3 linked regions of the Caenorhabditis elegans genome follow. The protein of the gene in region 3 interacts with the protein of the main gene of each other region in a biochemical or structural test. Each region holds a gene or a part of one and is shown on either strand. Other genes may lie near its edges.

Region 1 (4,935 bases), on a different chromosome or scaffold from region 3:
GAGAATCAAAGTTACAATAATGTGGAATTTATTATGTTACAGATTCATTTCAGACTTAGAGAATTTGAAGCGGCTTAGGCCTTGGTAGCAATGTAGGAGATAAGGTCGACGACTCTGTTGGAGTATCCGAACTCGTTATCGTACCATGAGACGAGCTTGACAAAGTGTGGGTTGAGTGAGATGGATGCTCCGGCATCGAAGATGGAAGAGTTGGTATCGGAGACAAAGTCAGTGGAGACAACTTGATCCTCGGTGTAAGCGAGAATTCCCTTCATTGGTCCGTCAGCGGCAGCCTTGATAACCTTCTTAATGTCATCGAGGGAAGCTGGCTTCTCAAGACGAGCAGTGAGATCAACAACAGAGACATCTGGGGTTGGGACACGGAAAGCCATTCCGGTGAGCTTTCCATTGAGCTCTGGGATAACCTTGCCGACAGCCTTAGCGGCTCCAGTAGAGGCTGGGATGATGTTTTGTCCAGCTCCACGTCCGTCTCTCCAGAGCTTTCCTGATGGTCCGTCAACAGTCTTTTGGGTGGCGGTGACGGCGTGGACAGTGGTCATAAGTCCCTCAATAATTCCGAAGTTGTCATTGATGACCTTGGCAAGTGGAGCAAGGCAGTTAGTGGTGCAGGAAGCATTGGAGATGATGTGGTCGTTGGCATGATCGTACTTCTCGTGGTTGACTCCGACGACGAACATTGGAGCATCAGCAGATGGAGCAGAGATGATGACCTGAAATTTAAATATATTTATCTTGAAAAATTAAATCACTAATTTACCTTCTTGGCTCCTCCCTTCAAGTGAGCATTGGCCTTCTCGATGGTGGTGAAGACTCCGGTGGACTCAACGACATAGTCGGCTCCAGAGGCTCCCCATTGGATCTCAGCTGGGTCTCTTGAGTTGTAGACCTGAAATTGAATAGAATATTAGGTGAAATCTAATTGGAAATAATTCTACCTTGATCTTGTGCTGGGACTTTCCTTCCTTGGCGACAAGAAGGTAGTCTCCCTCGTGGGCAACGGTTCCCTTGAAGCGTCCGTGAGTGGAATCGTACTGGAACAAGTAGACCATGTAGTCGATGGAGATGAATGGATCGTTGACGGCAACAACATTGACACTGTCCTTCTCGACAGCGGCGCGGAGGACAAGACGTCCGATTCTTCCGAATCCGTTGATTCCGACACTTGGCTTGGTCATGATGCGTTGAAGCAGTTTCCCTGAATTAAAATTAGAAGTTGAAAATACAATAGAAAGAAAATTGGAAGGTATATAAACTCGCAAAAACGAGGAAATGGCAGATTCAATAAGATGAATAAATATACAACCTTTATTGAGAAGAGACCATTTATATACTTGTAAGCTTCTAGGAAAATTTTAGATACTAAAGAGAAGCATAGATTTTAAGACAAGCAGTTAACTAGGTGAAAGTAGGATGAGACAGCTTAGGCCTTGGTGGCGATGTACGAGATGAGATCAACAACTCTGTTGGAGTATCCGAACTCGTTATCGTACCACGAGACGAGCTTGACGAAGTGTGGGTTGAGTGAGATGGATGCTCCGGCATCGAAGATGGAAGAGTTGGTATCGGAGACAAAGTCGGTGGAGACAACTTGATCCTCAGTGTAAGCGAGAATTCCCTTCATTGGTCCGTCAGCGGCAGCCTTGATAACTTTCTTGATGTCATCGAGGGAAGCTGGCTTCTCAAGACGAGCAGTGAGATCAACAACAGACACATCTGGGGTTGGGACACGGAAAGCCATTCCGGTGAGCTTTCCATTGAGCTCTGGGATAACCTTTCCAACAGCCTTAGCGGCTCCAGTAGAGGCTGGGATGATGTTCTGTCCAGCTCCACGTCCGTCTCTCCAGAGCTTTCCTGATGGTCCGTCAACAGTCTTTTGGGTGGCGGTGACGGCGTGGACAGTGGTCATAAGTCCCTCAATAATTCCGAAGTTGTCATTGATGACCTTGGCAAGTGGAGCAAGGCAGTTAGTGGTGCAGGAAGCATTGGAGATGATGTGGTCGTTGGCATGATCGTACTTCTCGTGGTTGACTCCGACGACGAACATTGGAGCATCAGCAGATGGAGCAGAGATGATGACCTAAAAATTTAAATATATTTATGCACAAAAGTTGATTACAAGTTACCTTCTTGGCTCCTCCCTTCAAGTGAGCGTTGGCCTTCTCGATGGTGGTGAAGACTCCGGTGGACTCAACGACATAGTCGGCTCCAGAGGCTCCCCATTGGATTTCAGCTGGGTCTCTTGAGTTGTAGACCTGAAATTTAAGAGAATGTTTAACAAAATATGTTTGGAAAATATTCTACCTTGATCTTGTGCTGCGACTTCCCTTCCTTGGCGACAAGAAGGTAGTCTCCCTCGTGAGCAACGGTTCCCTTGAAGCGTCCGTGGGTGGAGTCGTACTGGAACAAGTAGACCATGTAGTCGATGGAGATGAATGGATCGTTGACGGCAACAACGTTGACACTGTCCTTCTCGACAGCGGCGCGGAGGACAAGACGTCCGATTCTTCCGAATCCGTTGATTCCGACACTTGGCTTTGGCATGGCTGAAAATTGATACTACTACAATCAGTTCAACTAACATACAAACGACAAATAAAAATAGAATGATCGAAATGAAAATCGAATCAAATTGAAGAGAGAAGAATATGAAGTGAAGCCATAAAAACCATGTTTACTATTTGACGAAACATGTGCAGTAAGCGAAAAAAAAATGATGCAATAGGCAAGATGAAGAAATGCGGTGTGAGAGAGAAAATAGAGAGGAGAGAATAAGTATGCATAAAAAGAAAGGGAAAATTGAAAATGATGATGCAAAAAGAACAGAGAGCCGTTTGAAAAGCCCTCTATTTTTTATGTTCCGTGTCCTTTCTCGATTTCCTTCAGTCGTTGCTGATGTTGTTCGAGAACCTGAAATGAAAGTATTGAAGAACGTTGAAAGGTAGTGGAAAACAAAAAAAAAGAGATTGTTTGTGAAAACCAATCTATCTCTTCATTATGCTCGCTAGTCGCCCGTCTCTCTAACATATCAAGGTCAACTGTGTAAAATAGAGAGATTCGAAAGGAGTCCCCGGTCTATTTTGAATCAGTTCTAGAACACGCCACTTTCGCAGATAAGAGTTTCGGCAGTGTCATGTGACACATCAAAGAATAACGAGTTAATCAACAACAATATTTTCCTGCGTGTTTTCCTTAAATGGAGTGTCTCGTACCTTTTCATGATCCCGAATTTCCTGTTGGCTTTGCGTCATATCTGCTTCAAGCTTCTTCTTGAGATTGTCCAACTGATCTTTTTGTTGTCTTCGGAAGTATTCTTCTTCTCTGGTGGCGCCCATCATGCCGAGTGATCCACCTGCTTCACGGATTGAGCCGCCGGAGCCTCCACCATGTCCAGCACCACTTCCACTTCCAGATCCTGACATCTGTTTTGATTTCCTGGAAATGAACTAACTGGATTATATGAGCATGGCTCCAAAAGTAAAGAGAAGCGAAAGAAGAAAGCTGTCAAGAAGACGTCGAAGGGAGCATGCCTTTTTTATTTCTGAGAAGAAAAAGAAGAAAAGCAGCTAACACACACACACAAGTTTGTAGCACGTAAAGTAATCTTGAGTGAGAGCGAAGGGCGAAGGTGATGCAAACAGGCCCTCCCAAAACAAATTTCACAATGCGAGTGGCGTTTCGATGGCCGGAGACCGAGGACACTGGGCCGCCCATTTCCAAACGGCAATCGATTTTGTTTTTTTTACACACACATCAATATACACGCACAAACATTAACTCACAAACACACACACACACCGCACTCTCGTGAACTGAACGCACAAAACGTGTGTGTGTGTCAGTAAACTCTGATCTAGTAGAAAATAGTGCGTGTGTTGCAGAGGATTTAGAGAAAGGGTCGAGAAGAGAGTTTCGAGCCGCCCGTGAATTGATATCATAAACAATTGAAGACTTTGAAACATTTACAACATTTGACCTTCGAGAAAAAGAAGAACGAAATAAAATATTTACTAACCTCAAAAGTCTTTGTGAGCAAGAGCAACATTGGTTTCCGGTGAGCTCCTTGAAGTCAAACTCTGTTGTGTTGTTTCCTTAGAAGGCAGGGCAGGGTCGCTGTTTTTTTAGGGGAGCCGCCGTGGCGAGGCGAACATAGAGAGTGAAGGGAGCGAGGCGGGTAGCCTCAACTGATGCATAGAGAGAAAATGGGCCAACTGCGAGTGCGACGACGGCCTAGCCAGCCGGCACGAATCGATGGAGATGCCGACGTCGCCGACACACGATTGCTGGCCGTTGGCACGTAGGCAACGGCAGTGTAGTAACAGGAAAAGAAGAGATTTGAGGAGTTGCTCTTCTTTTCGCTTGGAGCAACTCTTTTCCAACCCGAAAGTTTTCAATGATAAAATATAGAACAACACGAAGATGAAAAGGCGCAGTCGCTAGTCAATCGTTCTGAAGATCAAACTAGTGGCCGGAGTAAATGGGAGGAGTTGGAAAATAATCAACGAGAAAAGTGTTTTTCATTGACATCAAAGAATGTTTTATATCAGTTATCACTGATCACTAGTCACTAGTTTTTTCAATTTCTGAAAGAAAATCTAATTTACTAATAGACACACGATGAATCAGAATTTATTCAAATGTATCTGATCAGTTGAATACGTGAGATCTTTTATAAAAGCTAATATCAACCAAAAGTTCAAAATCACTTCGAGATCAAAACTCTAATGGCATATGTTTGAATGCACGAAGTCAATAATTCTAACAGGCGAGAGTGCTATAGTTTTCTCAAAAAGTGGCAAAAACTCAGGAATTTCCACTTTTTGACTGTCAATAACAATTTTTCAAAATTTAATGTATCATAAACGTGTAATGTAATAACTTACCAAAACATGCCTAAACAGTGTGTCATCTTTACCT
Region 2 (5,313 bases), 1.6 Mb from region 3:
CAAAATAATTACCTATTTATTTGACTTGAAACTTTTTTTGATGACTTTTCAGATTTTGCCAGTGTTGTACAATTATTCTATTCAGAAAAAATTTACATTTCACATTTTGGTAATAGGTTTTTTGAGATAGTTTTGATCCAATCAAAGGAATAAAACAATTAATCACTTTTGTATTTTAATTTTGTTTTTCAAAACTTGCCAACTGATAATGTGCAGGCAATTTTATTTTTATTAATTTTGTGATTATATTGAATTTTCTCACTTTTCCCCATTCCTTGCACAAATTTTAGCCGAAGTTGTGCCAATATCAATGCCAACATGAACTTGCTCCGTCATCAATGATGATAAGAGTTTCCAATTTTAAGAGGAATCGGGGGTGAGGTTTCCTGGAATGAGAAGAAGCTTGAAAATGATAAGAACGGGCATAAATAGAGAGTGAGAGGGTGCAAGAGAAACAGAAAAATAGAAGAGTGGGGGAGACTGTTTTGGAGCGTTTTGGAGGTGTGCAGAGGCGGGAGTTTATGGATTTGCATAATTGAGGAAAGAAATTGGAAAAACATTATAAATCTATTGCAAACATAAAGCAAGTATGATTATAAGATTTAAAGATGGAGTACCGAAATCTGAGACTTTGCTTTTTTTAGATCCGAAGTGACCCAAAACTACCAAATTTCGTAATGAGAAGTTTTGAAAATTTCACAAAAACAATTCGTTGATGCAAGTACATTTTCGGTCAGTGGGGCACAAAAATGTAACTTTTCTTTGAAAACTAAAAACGTTTAAGAAATGAAAAGTGTTACCAGTTGACAACTTTTGTTATTTTTAACTAGTGTAGAGTTACTGTAGTTTGAATAGTGCTACCTGGAACAAAACATTGAACTCCGATACCTCGTCCGACAAGTGATACATATTAGAATATTGCCAAAACAGTTTTTAGATTATCTTTTTTTTGTTCAACTGACAGTTATTTCTTGGTAATGAAGATTTTTCAGTAATTTAGATTATCATGTAATGATGTTATAATGTAGTTAGAAGATTTATAGTAAATGCACAAACATATAGTTTAACCACCTATAAGCCTCTACAGCCGAAAAGTTAAAATATACTATCCAACACATGAATCTACATAAATTTTGTTATTTAGTTTACAACTTTTTTCTTTTCCTTTTTGTTGCCATGTTACATACATTCCCAGGAAGCTGCCGGCTGCTATTTTCACGTTTTTCAGATTGTCGATATCTCAATTATTCCATTTCTAATTGCTTTTTTCAAAATAATAATTAAACTATTAATTTCTTCCACACTTCGACCGATTTCTCATCTTTCCTCTTTGTTATCAGTGATAAGCAGAATAGGGTAGTAGTAACTTTTACGGGTATTTTGGGATTATACGGAAAGGGTAATGTAATGAAACTTTGAATCTTCGGCACTTTCAAGATTAGCTGCACCCTAACATTAAAAAAATATAGTTTATGATCCTAAATTTCTATTGTATTTCTAACTAGCATTGACTCATTACTTATCAGTGACTCATTTTCCCAGTATGGCTTCTTTAAGAGGAATGGTAGGCGGAAACTTCAATTTTAGGGAGTATTTAAAAGTTGGAGTCAATTGGAATGTTATCACTTTATTTTTTCTAGTTTTACATTCCTAGCGCTCCAGTGACTGGCGGTAGTTGATTTTTATCTCTTGGGGGTTTTTTATCTTAGGAGGTCATGTAAAGTTGTCAACTGACAATGTATAACATTTTTTTGAAATGCTTTGTTAGTGGACCAGCCGGCTTGAGCTACTGGAAAGTTCGGGGAGCCCGGATGTAAGCCTGTTGGCCTGCATTTTCAAAAATTTCGTAGGTTTATTCCATATTTGTTATACTGATTTGAGCAATTTTATAAAATCGGCCATAGCTAACAGCCTCCCAGTGCATATCATGTCAATTGACAATTTCATGTTCTAGAATTGAGCACAAATTCTGACAGGCTGCTTACATCATGCTCACCAAACTATGACTTTGTCTGTGTGACGTGATAATTTGTGTGTGTGTGTGTGTGTGAGTGTGTACATATAACCACCACGTACCTGCAATTCTTAGAACGAAGTGAGAGAGGGAGTTATCAGTATCAAACGCACACACATATATACATACAGAATGTGGCATATTCTCTCCATTCTCTCTTTTTCTCGTTTTCCCCCCGATGGTGAGCTGGCTGCGGTACTGATAACACACTTTGCATTTTTGGGGAAATGTGGCAACATTTTCATTTTTCGGCATTTTATAGTACTCGTACATCACTTAATAACGTTTTCTATAAACTCGACTTCTTCAACCTTTTATTAATTTCAGATGGAAGAAGAAATCGCCGCCCTCGTTGTCGACAATGGATCCGGAATGTGCAAGGCCGGATTCGCCGGAGACGATGCTCCACGCGCCGTCTTCCCGTCCATCGTCGGACGCCCACGTCATCAGGGAGTGATGGTCGGTATGGGACAGAAGGACTCGTATGTCGGAGATGAAGCACAATCCAAGAGAGGAATCCTCACCTTGAAGTACCCAATCGAGCACGGAATCGTCACCAACTGGGATGATATGGAGAAAATCTGGCATCACACATTCTACAACGAGCTTCGTATCGCCCCAGAGGAACACCCAGTTCTCCTTACCGAGGCTCCATTGAACCCAAAGAGCAACAGAGAAAAGATGACACAGATCATGTTTGAGACCTTCAACACTCCAGCCATGTACGTCAACATTCAGGCTGTGCTTTCCTTGTACGCTTCCGGAAGAACCACCGGAATCGTTTTGGACACCGGAGATGGTGTCACTCACACCGTTCCAATCTATGAAGTAGGTAGATGGGTTTAGAGAATATAAGAAGACAGCAATCTTCTTTGACTTGGCGGTGTAAAGTTTTGGAGATTACGTCTGCTTCGACTAATTTTTGCAGCCAGAAACAGGCTCACAGCGCTTTCGGAAACTTTTAGTTCAGCTCAGCAGCTCTTATCCTTAGTTTTAAGTTTTTGGAACTGTAAGAACTTAGTAAGAGCAAGGCCACCTCATTTCTCTGCAAATCATAGCCTGAGCTTCTGATCTTCTTATCTGATCCACAATCTTCTTGTGAGAATTCTTTGGGATCTAAGAAATCTAGAACCTACATCCGATCTTATCTTCTAATCTTCCAGGGATATGCCCTCCCACATGCCATCCAACGTCTCGATCTTGCCGGACGCGACTTGACCGACTACATGATGAAGATCCTCACCGAGCGCGGTTACACTTTTACCACCACCGCCGAACGCGAAATCGTCCGGGACATCAAAGAGAAGCTTTGCTACGTCGCCCACGACTTCGAGTCCGAGCTCGCCGCCGCCGCCTCCTCCTCCTCCCTCGAGAAGAGCTACGAGCTTCCCGACGGACAGGTTATCACCATCGGAAACGAGAGATTCCGCTGCCCAGAAGTCCTCTTCCAGCCTGCCTTCATCGGAATGGAAGGTGCCGGAATCCACGAGACCACCTACCAATCCATCATGAAGTGCGATGTCGACATCAGAAAGGATCTCTACGCCAACACTGTTCTCTCCGGAGGTACCTCCATGTTCCCAGGAATCGCTGATCGTATGCAAAAGGAGATTCAACATTTGGCTCCAAGGTAAGCTTCACATTTCTCAGTACATGAGATTATAATTCTTGTATTTTCAGCACAATGAAGATCAAGATTATTGCTCCACCAGAGCGCAAGTACTCCGTCTGGATCGGAGGATCTATTCTTGCTTCCCTCTCAACCTTCCAGCAAATGTGGATCTCCAAGCAGGAGTACGACGAGTCCGGCCCATCGATTGTTCACCGAAAGTGCTTCTAAGCTGATTTTTTTTCAAATTTTTTTTTTCAACATGTGCCTTCCATTTCTAGGCGAAACACGATTTTACTTGACACAAATTCCATGAGATACTTCATTTTCTTTATATTTATGGTTTCTTAACATGAATAAACTTGTTAGGACCACTTGCTACTTGGGAATTGAGTAAAATTGATGGTACTTGTGTATTATTTCCCCTCATTTTTTAAAATATAATTTTAAATAAAAACGTGTGGAGTTTTTGTTTTTTAGGCTTAGGAAATAATCATTTCTAAGCCTAAAGATGGAAAATGGACATCACGTTTTATTAAAATGGATAATATTAAAATGAGGGGAAATAATGCACAAGTACCAAATTGATTTTACTTAGAAATTAAGAAAAAAAAACAAACAAATAAGTTAACCTAAACCGGATCTGCCGTTCGGCAACTCCGGTACCATCCGGTTCCCGTTTTTTTCGGTGATACAGAGCTTTCTTGATACTTTTTTGACAACTTCCATAATTTTTATCTTGTTGCAATAACTGGGAAAAAGAAATTTTAAAAAGTGAACTGAAAAATGACTCTTGAGAAAAAATGATCGTACGGTCTTATAGTTTTACTGTAAAACATTTTTGATAGTTTGCAACATCCATTTTGATTTCTTATGGAAAATCGGTTCTTTTTGCTATAGAGAGCATGCAATTCTTCAAATAAAGTTGTCTCTAACTACAAGAAACCACCTTTCTGAAAAATGAGTCAAAAATGAGTAGATACATGCAATATCGGCGGGAATTATAAATATCCATAAATTGTGCCCAATTCTAAATTCTATTGCACTAAATATCCAGATGCAAATTTTTCCGAAATTACAAAAATTTTCGAGTAGCAGCCAGCAACAAGCTTTCGATAGGTACATAGTGATTTCTCGCAGGAAAAAGGATGAATTAATTTTAAAATGTTGAGCGCGTTCACACTACATATTTTTCAAATTGCACGCAATGTTACCTGCTTTTCTCCGGAGAAAAAAAAATAGTGAACATTTAAATAATCGGAAAAAAGTACGAAAAAAATTAGGAGCCGATTATTAAACTGAAAACTCTTCTTATAGAATTCGATTAAATTTTTTGTCAATTTTTTTCTTACACGTAAATACATTTCTTCCGACTTTTTTTTTTCAAAATTCACAATTCTAGTCAGACGGTTACGGTTCATTTGTTGTAAGTTTGTATAAAAAAACATTCCAAAAAGTTTAAACGTGCCGGCCTACAGATTTCCTCAATAGTTAAAATATTTTTTTCGCGTGGGTGGTCAAACTCAATTTATTACGAGCTTGGCTCTACTCGACGAACAACTCTCGATTGCAAATTCTAATAACCGTAAGTTTCTACACAGATTTTCCAGACATGAAATAAAGTTTTAGGTAAAAATGACTCACTTGAACTTTGAAACTCGCATGCCTCTTGGAACAGCCGTCATTGATC
Region 3 (6,639 bases):
TTGTCGATTTTTATATATTTTTTAACGAAAAAAAAAACCGGATTTTTTTCGATTTTTTAAACAGAAAATTGGAATTTTCTCGATATTTTTTTTCAGAGCAAATTTTTTTCGAGTTTAGGCCTGATTTTGCTCCAAAAAATCTGAAATAGGCTCAAATTTATTATGTTTCTAGGCATTTTTTTTGTGAAAAATCGCGTTTTTTCGTGATTTTTTCCTGGTTTTTCTAGATTTTTCGTACTAACAAGAGCTTCTTCTGATGGTTGATCATCCCATTCTTCCTCATTTTCAGCGATATCTTCGTCGGCTCCACGGGATACGCTTAGAGCAACTTCTCGTTCAAAAGCTTCCATAAGACAATCTTCGGTGTGCCAATAGAACTCGCGCTGAAAAATGAAATTTTTTGAATTAAAATTGAAATATTCGTTTAAAAAAAAAAAATTTCTGATTTTTTAAATTATTTTGTGAGAAAAATCGGAATTTTTTCGATTCTTTTAATATATTTTTAGAGAAAAATCGGAAATGTTTCAATTTTTTAAATTTTTTAAAAGAAAAATCGAATTTTTTTTTCGATTTTTAATTTTTGTATTAAATTAAAATAGGAATCTTTTTCGATTTTTAATAATTTTTTTAGAGAAAAGTCGGATTTTTTTAATTTGTAATTTTTTTTTTGAGAAAATCAGAATTTTTCCGCTTTTTTATATATATATTTATATTTTTAAAGAAAAATTGGAATTTTTTTTTCGATTTTTTTTTGAGAAAATTGCAATTTTTTCGATTTTTTAAAGAGAAAAATCGGAATTTTTCGATTTTTAATATAAATTTAAAAAAAAAACGGATTTTTTAATGTATTTTTAGAGAAAAATCTGATTTTTTAATGTATTTTTAGAGAAAAATCTGATTTTTTGATATTTTTACTGAAAAATCGGAATAATTTCAATTTTTAATATATTTTTAGAGAAAAATCGGAATTTTCTCGTTTTTTATAAGAAAAATTAGCATTTTTCAATGTTTTTAAATTTTTTTAAAGAAGAAATTGGAATTTTTTCGGTTTTTTAATATATTTTTTGGGAAAAATCGGTTTTTTTTTTTCAATTTTTAATATATTTTCTGCGATTTAATTAGAATATTATCTTCTCTACCTTATTCCGGAAATATTTTCTACATTCAAGGCATAAAAAATGCCGAGAAATTGAAGTCCAGCTCCGTTCCTCTTCGGTTTTTTGTCGCCGCATTCTTTTTTTCTGTTAAAAAAACAATTTTTCGCTGCAATTTCCGTGAAAAGCATTTAAAAATCGTTGAAACGAATGAAAAATTGGAAATTGAACAAAAAAATGGCCAGAAAATCGAATTTTTATGATGAAAAACCGAAAAAATGAGGAAAAAATGAGGAAAAATGAAGAGAAAATAGAAAAATCGATAAATAACAGAGTTCTTCAGTGAGTGGCGAGAGAGTGTGTGAGATGAAGAGACGCAGGGTGTTCGACAGGAGAATTTATTCATAAATCCGCCCAATTAATCGGGTTTCGACCGGAATTTTCGAGCTCCGTGTTGCATTTCGAGAAGCATTTGCATCCCCACCACTTGCGAGCACTCAGCGGAGACGGATGGGCGGTCTGGAAATTTTTTAAAATTTTTTAAAAAATTAAATTTGAGTTTAGTGGAAATATTTTTAAAATACGCTAAAAAATAGGTTTTTTTTTTCACAAAAATCAAAAATTTTGCGATTTTCCACGTCTGAAACCAATCAATTTTTCCCTTTGAAATTAATTTAAATTTTGGTGGAAAATGTCAAAAATTGCCAGAAAAACTTTAAAAAATTCAAGAATTTCCCACAAAATTGTAGTAAAATTGTCAATTTTCAGTTAAAAACCAAAAAAAAAAACAAGATTCTCCAGGTTTTGCTCCAAATTTGCTCCTTGTTTAAAATATCTATGTGAAAAATTGGAAAAAAAAGTCCCTTTTATTGTAGAAAATCGACGATTTTCAAACGCGCGCCAGACATTGAAGCGCGCTGTGTCTTGTGCCGATTTACGAGCCAGCTTTCAGCTTTTTATTCATTTTTATCGGTTTTTTTCGTTGAAAATTGTGTATTTTCGAGCCAATTGAACATTTTATGATCAGAAAACCGCGAAAATTTCCTATTTTTAGATGAAAAAGGAGGTAAATTCAGAGAAAATCGGAATTTTTTGAGTTTTTAAAGAGAAAATTGGAGTTTTTAAATAGAAATTTTCTCGAATTTTTTTTTCGATTAAAAAACAATTTCTGTTTTTCGATTTTTCTCTGAAAAAATAGAAAAAAAAAATTTTAATTTTCTCTTTTAAAAAATCGAAAAAATTCTAATTTTCTCCTTAAAAATTTCAAAAAAATTCCGATTTTCTCTTTTAAAAAATGGAAAAAATTCCGATTTTCTCTGGAAAACTATATGAAAAAATGGAAAAAATTCCGATTTTCTTTGAAAAAATCGAAAATATTCCGATTTTCTCTAAAAAATCAAAAAAAAAATCGAAAAAATTCCGATTTTCTTTGAAAAAAATTAAAAAAAACGAAAAAATTCCGATTTTCTCTGGAAAGAAATAGAAAAATTCCGGTTTTCTATTTAAAAAAAAAAAGAAGAAAAATTCCGATTTTCTTTGAAAAAATCGAAAAAATTCGGTTTTTTTTCTCTGAATTTAAATCATTTTCCATCTAAAAATAAGGAAATTTTGCGAGTTTTATAATAATAAAATGTTCAAAAAACCGAAAAAAAAAATGAAGAAACAGCAAAAAATTGGCTTTAAAAAAACAAATCTCGTAAATCGACACAACACGGTGCGTTCCAATGAGAATCGTCTCTGGCTCTCTGGCGCGCGTTTGAAAATCGTCGATTTTCTACAATAAAAGGGACGTTTTTTTCCAATTTTTCACATAGATATTCGGAATCAGGGGAAAATTTAGAGCAAACCCCTGAATTTTTTTTAGTTTTTAACTGAAAAGTGACAATTTTACTACCATTTTATGGGAAAATCTTGAATTTTTTTCTAGGTTTTCTGGCAATTTTTACCTAAATTTCCAGCAAAATCGCAAAATTTCCGATTTTACAGGTGAAAATCGGCAATTTTTGTCGTTTTCCAACACATTTTTAGGGAAAAAATCTTAAAATCAACTTTTCCATGCTTTTTCCAGAATTCTATCCAGAAAAATAATGACCTTTATAACTACATGTTTCTTTGTATCAATCAGTTCTTCCTTCTTATGAGCAAATCCTCCCCATAACAAAAAGACAATAGGCTTCTCCGATTGTCGCGAAATAATCCGAATAACAGTGTCCGTGAAAGTTTGCCAGCCGATCTTCGCGTGAGAATTCGCCTCGTGAGCCCGAACCGTCAACGTGGCATTCAACATGAACACTCCCTGACGTGTCCAGCCGAGCAGGTTCCCGTGATCGGGCCGCTTGAAGCCTTCAATATCGGATTCAAGCTCTTTATAGATATTTTTCAGCGATGGCGGCGGTTTTACACCCTTCTGAACACTGAAGGAGAGCCCGTGAGCTTGATTATCATCGTGATAGGGGTCTTGACCGATGATAACCACGCTGATCTCGTCGAATGGCAGAAGATTGAATGTTGTGAAAATTTGTGTGGGCGGTGGGAACACTTGCTTGCCCTTGTTCACTTCGGAATTCAAGAATTTCTCGATTTTCGAAATATAGCCTTTTTTGAATTCCTCCTCTAAAAGTTTCGACCAAGATTCACCGGTTAGCAGGGATTTTAGCAGAATTTCAGTTGGTTCTGGTGCTTGTAACTTCATTTTCTTGACTTCTTGATTTTCATTGCCCGCGGGAACTTTTTCCGGAATATTTTCAGTATTTGAAGCGGATTTTCTGAAATTTCGGTGGTTTTTTTTGAATTTTCAGAGCGGGAAATACCGTTTAGAGGCAGCGGATGCTTTGAGGAACATGTCCGGAATTCTTACAGTCTTCGACATTCTGAAATAAACGGAAATCTAGAAGAAAAAAAAAGAATTTTTATTCAAAAAACACGAGTGGAAATGAGATAAAATAAACCTGAGGGCATAGATAAGGATATTTGAAAAATTAAATCACAAAAATGGGAAATTATTCGAGTTATTTGCAGGCAAACCGGTGAATTCGTAACCTGAAAATGAAGAAAATCGATAAAAATCATTTAATTTCGCATTGACTACGGTAGGTAATTGTGTGCACTTTTGCGTGGCGGTGTATGCACAGAATTGATTTTTAAAAAAAATTAATTTTTTTTTAAATTTTAAAATTAATTTATTGAATTTTTCGACGATTTTCTTGAACTTTTCTCACACATTTTTGTGCAAAAACTCTTATTTTCAAACTTTCAGACTCAAAACGCACTGGAAAATCATTAGAAATGGCACCGAAGAAGAAAATGGTAATTTTTATGGCGAAAATTACTTGAAACAGACAAAAAAATCCGAATTATCGAAAAAAAGGACTCTCCCGCCGAAATGTCTCGTTTGAATGGGGTGGCGGCAGCTAGGCCGTGGTTGCACGCGGTCACGTCCAGATGGTCGATAATATTGGCGTTATTGGAGGAGTACGGGGGTTTTTAATGTATAATAATAAGAATAATAATTCAAAAAAAGTGCACTTTCGGACGCTGCAGCACGGAAAAGTGGCCAAAATTAGAGATTTTAGTTAAAATTAGCGCTTTTTTTTTCGAAATTTTGATTTTTTTTTTCACAATTTTCACAATTCCTTTAAAGGTGGGGTAGCGCTAGTGGGGAAATTGCTTTAAAACATGCCTATGGTACCACAATGACCGAATTTCATGATAAAAAATTCAAAAAAAAATTTATAAATTTTATATGATTTTTTGAAAATTGAAAAAATCACAGTTTTCCCCTAATTCCTATTTGAATTACCGCCAATTGAATTTGTTCGATGGGGCGCGCTTGCACGTTTTTAAATTTATTTATTTTATTTTTTGTTATTTTCCACCGATTTTTAATGTTTTCGGTGTATTTTTGCTCGAATTTTAGAGAAAAAATCAACATAAATGCAAATTTTCGATTAAAAAGCACGCTTACAGGCGTAAAAATGAAAAAGTAACGCTTTTAAACGATTTCGAACCTGAATTAATTAATTTCACTGATTTACGCCTGTAAGCGCACTTTTTAATCGAAAATTTGCATTTATTTTGACTTTTTCTCTAAAATTCGAGCAAAAATACACCGAAAACATTAAAAATCGGTGGAAAATAACAAAAAATAAAATAAATAAATTTAAAAACGTGCAAGCGCGCCCCATCGAACAAATTCAATTGGCGGTAATTCAAATAGGAATTAGGGGAAAACTGTGATTTTTCCAATTTTCAAAAAATCATATAAAATTTAGAAAAAATTTTTGAATTTTTTAATCATGATATTCGGTCATTGTGGTACCATAGGCGTATTTTAAAGCAATTTCCCCACAAAGCGTAGTCCACCTTTAAAATTTTTTGGCACATTTTTCTCAATTCCTTTTAAAAAATGTACCTTGATTCTGAAATCCAGGCTGCTGAGAAACCGTGTCAAACCCTCTGCCAACAAGATTATCCATGTATCCAGTGGTTCCACCGCCGTACCCATATCCATTGCCGAATCCATTGTTGTAGGTCCAACTACCAGGCTGATTTTGAAACTGGAACTGCTGGAAATTGTTGTTGGCTGCGAAGCTTTCTGTCGGAGGATTCGGCGTTGTTTCAAAAACGATATTCGGCTTCGGCTCAGGCTTCTTCCTCGGCGGCCTTTTTCTCTTCGGCTTCGGGATCGTCGCTGTTCCGTCAGCTACTACAGTTTCCACGTCATCTGCTTTCTTCCGTCTTGGCGTGGCTTTTTTCTTCGGTTGGGCTTGAATCGGCGGGCTATGAGCCTCATCAGTCGGCTTTACAGTGCTATAAATGTCCCGTGACAATTGAAACTCTGTTGGCTCTGGCACACTCGTTGTAGTGGCTTCTTCCAGAGGTTCAGCTACGGAAGAGGCTGCAATTAATCAATTTGTGAAGCAGGCGTGGGCGGCAAATTGGGCATTTTGCCGATTTGCCGGAAATTTTTAAATTCCGGCAATTTTCCACTTTGCCGGAAATCTTCTTTATCGGCAAAATTCAGGCAAATAAAAAAAGCGAATAAATTCACACTTGTCAAAGCGTAGTGCAAAACAGGGGTGGGCGACAATTTCCGGTCTGCAAATGTTTTATTCCTCCAATTTGCTGAGTTGCCAGAAATTTACGACTCCGGCAAACTTGCCGATTCGCCGGAAATTTTCAATTTCCCACTATTTTCCGATTCGCAGAAAATTTTCAATTCCGGCAATTTGCCGATTCGCCGGAAATTTTCAATTCCGGAAATGTGCCGATTTGCCGGAAATTTTTAATTCCGGAAATTTTGATTTTCGGCAGATTGGCGATTTGCCGGAAATTTCGATTTTCGGAAATTCGCCGATTTGCCGGAAATTTTCAATTCCGGCAATTTGCTGAGTTGCCGGCAATTCTGATTTTCGGCAGATTGGCGATTTGCCGGAAATTTTGATTTTCGGCAGATTGCCAATTTACCGTGAATTTTCAATTCTTACTATTCTCCGATTTGCCGGAAATTTTCAATTCCCACAATTTGCCGATTTGCCGGATTTTC

Evidence for each region. The genes of interacting proteins can lie anywhere in the genome.
Region 1: the proteins of ung-1 (region 3) and gpd-2 form a complex in vitro, tested with the Caenorhabditis elegans proteins (one large-scale study listed by BioGRID).
Region 2: the proteins of ung-1 (region 3) and act-5 form a complex in vitro, tested with the Caenorhabditis elegans proteins (one large-scale study listed by BioGRID).

The regions. Positions count from the first base shown.
Region 1 is NC_003284.9:3,112,126-3,117,060, forward strand, and holds gpd-2 (Glyceraldehyde-3-phosphate dehydrogenase 2), read right to left. Parts: upstream 2,565-4,935; 5' UTR 2,563-2,564; coding exon 2,323-2,562; intron 2,274-2,322; coding exon 2,145-2,273; intron 2,099-2,144; coding exon 1,442-2,098; 3' UTR 1,318-1,441; downstream 1-1,317. Other genes in the region: gpd-3 (Glyceraldehyde-3-phosphate dehydrogenase 3), read right to left, coding at 75-731, 779-907, 957-1,196; mai-1 (ATPase inhibitor mai-1, mitochondrial), read right to left, coding at 2,872-2,928, 3,231-3,440.
Region 2 is NC_003281.10:13,603,095-13,608,407, reverse strand, and holds act-5 (Actin), read left to right. Parts: upstream 1-2,341; coding exon 2,342-2,842; intron 2,843-3,177; coding exon 3,178-3,644; intron 3,645-3,694; coding exon 3,695-3,854; 3' UTR 3,855-3,996; downstream 3,997-5,313. Other genes in the region: shpk-1 (Carbohydrate kinase FGGY N-terminal domain-containing protein), read right to left, coding at 263-336.
Region 3 is NC_003281.10:11,970,127-11,976,765, forward strand, and holds ung-1 (Uracil-DNA glycosylase), read right to left. Parts: upstream 3,965-6,639; 5' UTR 3,964-3,964; coding exon 3,905-3,963; intron 3,860-3,904; coding exon 3,187-3,859; intron 1,614-3,186; coding exon 1,497-1,613; 3' UTR 1,341-1,496; downstream 1-1,340. Other genes in the region: Y56A3A.28 (C2H2-type domain-containing protein), read right to left, coding at 243-383, 1,140-1,232; Y56A3A.30 (SP-RING-type domain-containing protein), read right to left, coding at 4,078-4,133, 5,506-5,991; Y56A3A.31 (SOSS complex subunit A homolog), read left to right, coding at 4,380-4,400. UniProt on the Caenorhabditis elegans protein: Excises uracil residues from the DNA which can arise as a result of misincorporation of dUMP residues by DNA polymerase or due to deamination of cytosine.